2 linked regions of the Cricetulus griseus genome follow. The protein of the gene in region 1 purifies or fractionates together with the protein of each later gene. This does not show direct contact. Links are inferred from orthologs where the notes say so. Each region holds a gene or a part of one and is shown on either strand. Other genes may lie near its edges. The genes, in order: Taf5l and Tada2b.

Evidence for each region.
Region 2: the proteins of Taf5l (region 1) and Tada2b purify together in Homo sapiens (affinity purification with mass spectrometry; 3 studies listed by BioGRID and IntAct, counting the BioPlex papers as one, with this or other methods). This does not show direct contact. The link is inferred for Cricetulus griseus from reciprocal best matches to the Homo sapiens genes TAF5L and TADA2B.

The regions. Positions count from the first base shown.
Region 1 is NC_048596.1:200,688,549-200,692,356, reverse strand, and holds part of Taf5l (TAF5-like RNA polymerase II p300/CBP-associated factor-associated factor 65 kDa subunit 5L), read left to right. Parts: intron 1-2,084; coding exon 2,085-2,189; intron 2,190-3,808. UniProt on the Homo sapiens protein: Functions as a component of the PCAF complex. The PCAF complex is capable of efficiently acetylating histones in a nucleosomal context. The PCAF complex could be considered as the human version of the yeast SAGA complex.
Region 2 is NW_023276807.1:105,486,975-105,491,287, reverse strand, and holds the start of Tada2b (transcriptional adapter 2-beta), read left to right. Parts: upstream 1-1,293; 5' UTR 1,294-1,377; coding exon 1,378-1,647; intron 1,648-4,313. Other genes in the region: Ccdc96 (coiled-coil domain-containing protein 96), read right to left, coding at 1-781. UniProt on the Homo sapiens protein: Coactivates PAX5-dependent transcription together with either SMARCA4 or GCN5L2.

The sequences.
Region 1 (3,808 bases):
CATGAGTGATTTGAATCATTGGTCTTCACTCTGCAGGCTTTCATTGCACATCTCCTTTAGAACTTGCTAGGATTCTATGGGACTGGAGAGATTGCTCAGAGGTTAAGAGCACTGGCTGCTCTTCCAGAGGTCCTGAATTCAGTTCCCAGCAACTACATGGTGGCTCACAACTGTCTACATGACAGAACACTGTATACATAATAAATAAATCTTAAAAAAAAAAAACTTAAATTGCTGCTAGAAATACATGCTGCAGTACAGGGTCAGCGAGTAGAGAAAATGGTCCTTTGCACTAGGTTAGCAGGGCAAGAGAGTCTTTCAAAGGCCTGGTACTCTCCAGATTATGGTCATGGTGGCCAGTAGCAGAAGGAATTAGCTGTTTTAAGAGTAATTATAAGGAGCACTCCTGTCAGGTTAAAGGAGGACATTTGAGATCTGGAGATAGATTTCAAGACAGTGACTGGGTGCTAAGTATCATTAAAGGGTCCAAGTTACAATTAGATACACCAGCCAAGAACCAGCATAGTCTGAGGGTAACCTGAAATCTGAAGGACTTTGACTGATGTTCTAGCTATCTTGATTTTGCTGGAAGACAGGAACTCTTCTTTACCTCCCCCCCTTCTTTGTACACTATGTTTTGATTCCTTCAGTTCTACTGTATTCATTACCATCCCTCCATCTACCTTCTAGTGGCTAAATGTGGCATTTTCTTCAGGTCACTGTAAAGATGACATCTTAACCCTTGGCCCCTAGCTTCCATCTGGAAGTCAAGGTTGGTACCACCTAAGTGGGTGCTGGCTGCAAGGAATTTGAGGGCAACCTTTCCATTTCTCCATTTGCAGAGCGTCAAGGGCTCTGAACATTTTGTGAAAGTTTGCCTTAAAGTTAAAATAGGAATCAAGAACAATATGGTGTAGACTCTTCACTGGATGGTTCAGAAAGCTTGAGTTTCTTTTTTAGGAAGCATAATTCAGGCCAAGTATGATGGCATACTCCTGTAATTCCAGCACAAGGGGCAGAAAGATTGAGATTCCCAGGTTAGCTGGGGGCTGCATAATGAGACCCTGTCAGAAAAAAGAAAATATAAAGTCAAAAAGTGCATGTTCGCATGCTAAATATTGAGACCCCAGGCTTCTTCATGTTAGCTGCCCAGAACACTGCAGCCAACCTTATTCCCCAAGAAGGCTAGTGAACAAGTTTGCTGGATTATGACCTGCCCAGGATTACAGACCAAAGACATTCTTTGTGAAACTCTGTTCATGCCCTCCTAAGTGATCAGGCACATTCCCATTATCCCTAAGGTGTCCTGTTTCACTGCCTTGGGGGAAATGTTTCTCTGACCACTGTGCATATCATAGTATTGCGACAAGAAGATAATGCTGCCTAGGGAAAGAGAACATTTTGCCAGGTAGGTGATGATAAAAAGGAATGTGAGCCAAATTAACTCTTTCCTTCTTTGGAAAAATATAAAAAGGAAAATCAACAAAAAGGTTGAAGATTAGGCTAGGTGTGGTGGTATACACCTTTAAATCCAGGGGAGGGGCAGAGGCAAGCAGATCTCTGAGTTTGATGCCAGCCTGCAGTCTTGGGGGGGGGGATTAAAAGTTAAGGAAACCTCCCTATTAGTAAAGCAAAAGGATGAAGTGTAGAGAAAAGATGTAAATGATTTTTAGAACTTCCAACTTTTAAATCAGGAATCTTGGAAAATTAGAAGGCAGGATCAGAAACAAATGAAGACTGTTGCTCTGAACTGGGAGGCATAATACCTCAAATTGACAGACCTAGCACATTGTAACACATCAGCGTAGACTAGATGTTTCAGATGAATTTCAGGGCTATTATGTGCCTATCCTCTCTTAGCTTAATTTATCTGATGCTCTCTAGCTTTTCATTCGTCTGCCCTCGTTTTATGGAGTGTCAGGGGAGAAGAGAGACAAACAAATATTATCAGCCTGCCCCAGTCTCCCAGAGCCCTAGAAAGTCTTACTTAGAGATGCCATTGGACTCTATGCCCTCTGTTTATCCTGCTGCATAGTGCATAGTAACTACATTCTTGCCTCTGTCTTGTGTGTCTCCTCCTTTAGTCCAATCAGAATCTGGTTGTGCCAATGCAGTGTCTGCAGCCCCTTGCCAGGCAGAACCTCAGCAATATGAAGTACAGTTTGGACGACTGAGAAGCTTTCTTACTGGTAAGTCCTTGTTAAGAAACCAAATAATGTAGATATCCCTCAGAACCTCTTGTATTACAAGCATAGTGTTAGGTTCTAGGGAGTCTGGTTCTTTTTTGTTTGGTGGCTGTTTGTTTTTTCAAGACAAGTGTTTCTGTGTAGTCCTGGTTGTCCTTAAACTTGTTCTGTAGACAAAGCTAGCCTCAAACTCAAAGATCCACCTTTCTCTGCTTCCTGAGTGCTGTGATTAAAGGCCTGTGCCACAGTTCTTGTGTACAAACAGAATTTCTGTGAAAGTTAGATCTTGATGTTGAAGTTTGCAAGGATAGAGAGAGAACTCTGTGTGTCCTATTCACTGTTTGCCTGCAGCTTTTGGCTTTTGACTTCTGAATAAATGAAGGACAAATCATCCATAGAGAAAGCATCCTTTAAGTGAAGTGAATTTGAAATGTAGACCATCTTTCAGAGTAGTGCTCATGATTTGGATGAAGAACTTAGCCATTATCAGTTAGGCAGGTCATAGATGAAATGACCACAGAGACACAAAATCAGTGGATTTGTGTTCCATTTGCTTCTTCTTGATGCATTAATGTGAGTTTTTAAAAAACAAAACAAACAAAAAATAAACAGTTGCTTAAGAGGAGCCATTTAGTCCATGGTGGTAGCGTACACCTCTAATCCCAGTACTAGAGAGACAGAGGCAGGCAGATCTTAAACCATGTTTTCTGGTCCTGAGATGGCCAGTATTAACTTAAAATTGAGGAGTTGCAATAAGAGAACCATGTTGATTCTGAGTACTAATCTTGTTGAATTCCTTCTGTAATCACCTTTTATAAGAAATAAAAAAGCATACTCTGCCCTGGAAGGACTGAGAATAATTAGTGGATACTGGTTTAGTGTCACACACATCTAATTCCAGCATTCAGAAGGAAAAGACATGGATTTCTGTGAGTTTGAGGCCAGCCTGGTTTACATGATGAGTTCCAAGCCAGCCAGGGTTATATATTAGTGAAGCCCTGTCTCAAAAAGTATATAAATAATTTGAACTTATCCAAGAATAGTGGCACCTTAATACATGAGAAGAAGGGACATCAGGGACAGTTCGAGAACATCCTCATAGCAAATTTGAGGCTAGCCAAGGCTACAGGAGACCCTATGTTAAAAACAAACCAAAAAAAGGCTAGAGAGAGATGGCTCATTATATAAAGGTGATTGCCGGGAAACCTAACACCCTGAGCTCAATCCCTGAGAGCCACTATAGTATCAGAAGAGAACTAAAATACTATGGGTGCTGGAGAAATGACTGGTTCAGCAAGCAGTTAAAAGCCTTTACTAGGGCTGGAGAGGTGGCTCAGAGGTTAAGGGCACTGACAACTCTTCCAGAAGACCCAAGTTCAATTCCCAGCAACCACATGGTGGCTCACAACCATCTGTAATGAGATCTGGTGCCCTCTTCTGGTGTGCAAGCATGCATGCAGATAACTGTATATATAATAAATTAATAAATAATTTTTTAAAAGGCCTTTACTATTCTAACATAGGAACCGAGTTTGATTCCCAATACCCACTTCAGCAGCTCATAGCTGCCTGTAGCCCAGTTCCAAGGGATTCAACTTTCCTCTGGCTTCATGGGCACCCAC
Region 2 (4,313 bases), on another chromosome or scaffold:
GGTACTGGTTCACTAGCTCACCGCGCAGCTGCTCCTCTTGCAGCTTCCGAACATCTGCAGACCACTCAAAGTCTTCGAAGTCCTCATTGTCTTCCTCTTCCATGTCCTCATCCTCTTTGCTTTTCTTGTGTTGTTCTCGACCTGTCGCCCGGATCTCCTCGCTACCTCGCTTCTGCTCTGACTCCTTTGCTTTCTCTTTCTCAGCCTGTGGGGCTGGAGCAGCCGCCTCCTCGACGATCGTGGTCAGTGGCAGGGAGGGCCGGAACCGTGACTCCTTGCTCTTCACCTTCTTCACCTTGTCCTGCTTCTCCCGCCCGGCGGGTTCCTCATCCTCGTCCTCGTCCTCGTCTTCATCCTCGTCTTCGTCTTCGTCCCCCTCCTGGAACTCCCGCTCGGTCTCGGGATGCGGCTCTGACAGACTTTCTGGCTCTCGGGACACGGCCTCGCTCGCAGCCTCTGCTGTCTCGCTCGCAGCCGTAGCGGCCTCCAGACTTTCCTCGACATGAGCGTCATCACTCCCCTCCAAAACCTCTGCTTCAGTGTCGTCCGCAACAGGTTGGGTCTCCGCCTCAGACTCTGGCTCTGGCTCCGGCTCCGGCTCCGGCTCCGGCTCCGGCTCCGGCTCCGGCTCCGGCTCCGGCCCGGGCTCTGGCTCCGGCTCCGCAGGGTCGGCCGGGGTCTGAGGTTCAGGTTCGGAGCTGACCTTGGTCTCGGACGACTGCCTGGTCGGGGCTTCCTCAGTTCCTCCTTCGCCCTCGGTATCCCCGTCGTGGCTGTCCATGCTCGACCCGCAGTCTCAGGTCTGAGGACCGCGGCCGCCTGCTGTTAGGTTTCCCGGGGCAACCAGGGCGCGCGCGGTGGGCCCCGCGATTGGTCGTCCGCCTTCCTTTTCTCTCCGCCTCCCAGCAATATTAAGCCAATGAAGGACAACGAACAGGTGAATGTAAGCGCTGATTGGACACTGTCTCTTGAGAGGTGTGGCGCAGCAGACCGGCTTCCGGTCTGCGCCTTGCCGGCTGTCAGGTTTGGGGCGGGGCCTTACGGCTTCGTGAGTCCATGAGGCGGAGGGAGGCAGCGGCGCGCAGGCGCAGATCGGAGGCTCGGCTGCCCGCAAGAGGGCGCGCGCGGGGCGCCTGCGCGATGCGGCGGGGAGACGGCGGCGACGGCGGCGGCTGCCGGGCCGGGCCGGAGGGCGCCTGCGTGCTGAGGCGGGACGCGGCCCGCCTGGCGGGCTCCGGCGGCGCCTGGGCGGGGACGGCCGTGGCAGCGGCCGGCAGCAGCGCGGGCGCGGTGGGCGCAGTGGGCTCGACAGGCGGCGGGGCGCTGACGGCCGGAGGCGCGGCGACTGCGGGCCGGGCGGCGGGCGAGCGGGGGAAGATGGCGGAGCTGGGTAAGAAGTACTGCGTGTACTGCCTGGCCGAGGTGAGCCCGCTGCGCTTCCGCTGCACCGAGTGCCAGGACATCGAGCTGTGCCCCGAGTGCTTCTCGGCTGGCGCGGAGATCGGCCACCACCGCCGCTACCACGGTTACCAGCTGGTGGACGGTGGACGATTCACTCTCTGGGGGCCTGAGGCGGAGGGCGGCTGGACCAGCCGCGAGGAGCAGCTGCTGTTGGACGCCATCGAGCAGTTCGGCTTCGGCAACTGGGTGAGCGGCGGGCCCTGACTAGAAGGAAGGCATGGCTGGCTGGTTTGGTGCACGCTGCGGCGGGCCGCAGGTGGCCGGACGGGATCGCCCAGAGAATGCTGGGCGCCCATGGCTACACAGCTGGTAGAGCAGAGCCTTGACCCGTGGCCCCTACACCGAGCTGTCTGCCCTTCACACTCGTCCTCAGAATGTGTGCATTGAACGCAGGCGGAGGGCAGGCCCTGTACCTTGCCAAGCTTCTACTCGAGCCAGATGGCAGCAATCGAGACCCTGCTGTCCCTTCTGAGTTCCCTGGTAGGGTTGGGTTCTCCTGGGCACAGTGATGAGGAAGGCTAGAAGCCTGGGCTGCCCATCCCGCATGCACTTAGTCTGCATTCAGGGCTTCGAGTGCTTTCTGTGGGTGTCAGCATGTGACCTGAGCTAGGGTTCTCCGTGGGTAGCAGTGCCTTGTTTAATTCTTGCTCTCTACAGCACCCAGGACATAGTGTGAGAGGTGGCCAGTAAAGAATGAACAAAGGCCTCTCAGTGAGGAGGCATGTAACCAGGAGTCTGCTTTCTAGCTGTCAGGTTTCAGTAGATGTGTCTTGCTGGTGGCAGGAGCTTTGGTGTGCCAGCCAGATAGTGTGCTGGTCTCCTGGTTGTTCTCTAGGGATCTCTAAGGAGCTTTCCTTCTATTCCTCACCTTTATTAGGGAAGAACTCTGTCTTTGTCACCATTACCGCCAGGCACATATAGTATCTTCAGGCTTTCAAAGAAAAGGGAGCTAAGTATGACCCTGTTCTGTCCAGACTCTTTCCCGGTATGGTTGGGTACTGCTTCTCTAAGCTTCCCTACTCCAGCCATACTGCCTTACTATTCCAGGTCATCATATGCAGTGAGTGACCTTTTGGACCCACCTCCCCCACCTAGGAAAGATTCTACTTTACAGATACTTTCCTGATGGCCAACACCTTGACTCCTGCTCTCCAAAAACATCTGGTTGCTTTGCCTATAAGTGGTGTTGTTGGTGTATATTGAGCATTTGATTTGTATAGATCAGGCAGCATGAAACACCCTGAAGAAGAGCCTCAGAACTGAAAATGTTGCATTCGTTTGTTCTGTTCCTCTAGCTTGTCTCTACCTGATGACATCCATTCCTCTCTATATCATTGCCCATGGTGACCCAGCCTCACTTTGTGCTCAGCTACAGAGTCAACTTAAAACCTTCATCTACATCTAGTTGTTTAGCTGTCATCTATTTTTAAAAATGTGCCGAATGTAGCTGCTAATTCTGGTCTGAACCACGCTGACATTTACCTCTTACTGTTTTAACATCTCATGGTTTACCTGCTTTCTCCTTGTGTTCTATAGCTCTTCTCACACACCAACACAGGTCTTTTGAAACATAAGCTGTATCTCTTTGGCTCTCAGCAACTTCCAGTTCTACTTAGATTACATTACAATGCCTGCAAGGCCTGACAACATCTATGGTTCCCTGTGATCTCATGCTTACTCTCTTGATGAGTTTTCCTTTCTTCTGCCTACAGTGCTTTCACCCTAGTCAAGACTACTGACTGATCTTTGTCCTTATGTGTCATTGCTTCAGAGAGACGTTTCTTCCTCACATCATTCCTCCAGCACTATCTCTAGAGTAGCCACTGAAAAGAGTGAGAGTGTTAGTTTTGGGGAGCCCACTGCTGACCTTGTTTTATCTCCTGAAACTGGGCTGGCTATACCAAGTGGAAGAAGAGGCAGAAAGAGTGTAAGAGCCAGAGGGGGGAAGAGGACACAAAGAGACAAGGCCCTTGTAATCAAGTGAGCACAGCTCATGTGAACTCACAGACTGAAGCAGCAAGCACAGGGCCAACATGGGTCTGTACCACATCTCTGCATTTATATTATAGCTTTCAGTTTAGTATTTTTATGGGTCTCCTGAGTATGTGAACGAGTGGGTCGCTGATTCTTGTCACTTCTCTTGGGGCTCTTTTTCTTCATTGGTTTGACTTGTCCAACTTCGATGTGATGGTTTTTATTCTATCTTATTATATTTTATTTTGCTAAAGAAAAGAAAGGAAATCTTGGGCTGTAGAGTCCGCACCTCAACTAGTGTTTGTGCTGCATTGGTGTAGCACAGTCAGAAGCACATAGCACCCAGGCATGGAAGCATGTAAAATGTGGATGAATAAACAGGCTGGATGGGAAGGCCTCTTCTGAAGCAGCACTTTCAGGCTTTAAGGCCAGAGGAACTTGAGTCAAGATGCAGGTTCTCATGAGGTCCAGGCTCAGCTTTGGAAGAAGTAAAGCTCAAGAGGAAGAGTCTTGGGACTTGGCTGCCTGTGTGTAGTTCATGGACTGCTACCTGCTGAAGCAGCAAGAGTCTCAGGGCCGGTCTGAGAGATGCAACCACTGATCCTCACACAGAAAGAGGAGGCTCTGTGACTCTGCTATCTGTGCTCTCCTAGACCGGTTGCTTTATTCCTTCAGAGGCACCACAGCTTAGATATGTGGTTCTGTTCTGAGCTTGCATGCTATTACACAGAGTATGTCCCAGTTTGGACCTGTGTAGAGCCTGTACTAGCTCTATACTGTATCCTTTATGTATGCAAGTCATCTGACTTGCACAAGCATCACTGTGGGGGTGAATTTAATGTTCTTAGTTTGCAGCTGAAAGACAGCAACTGTGAGAA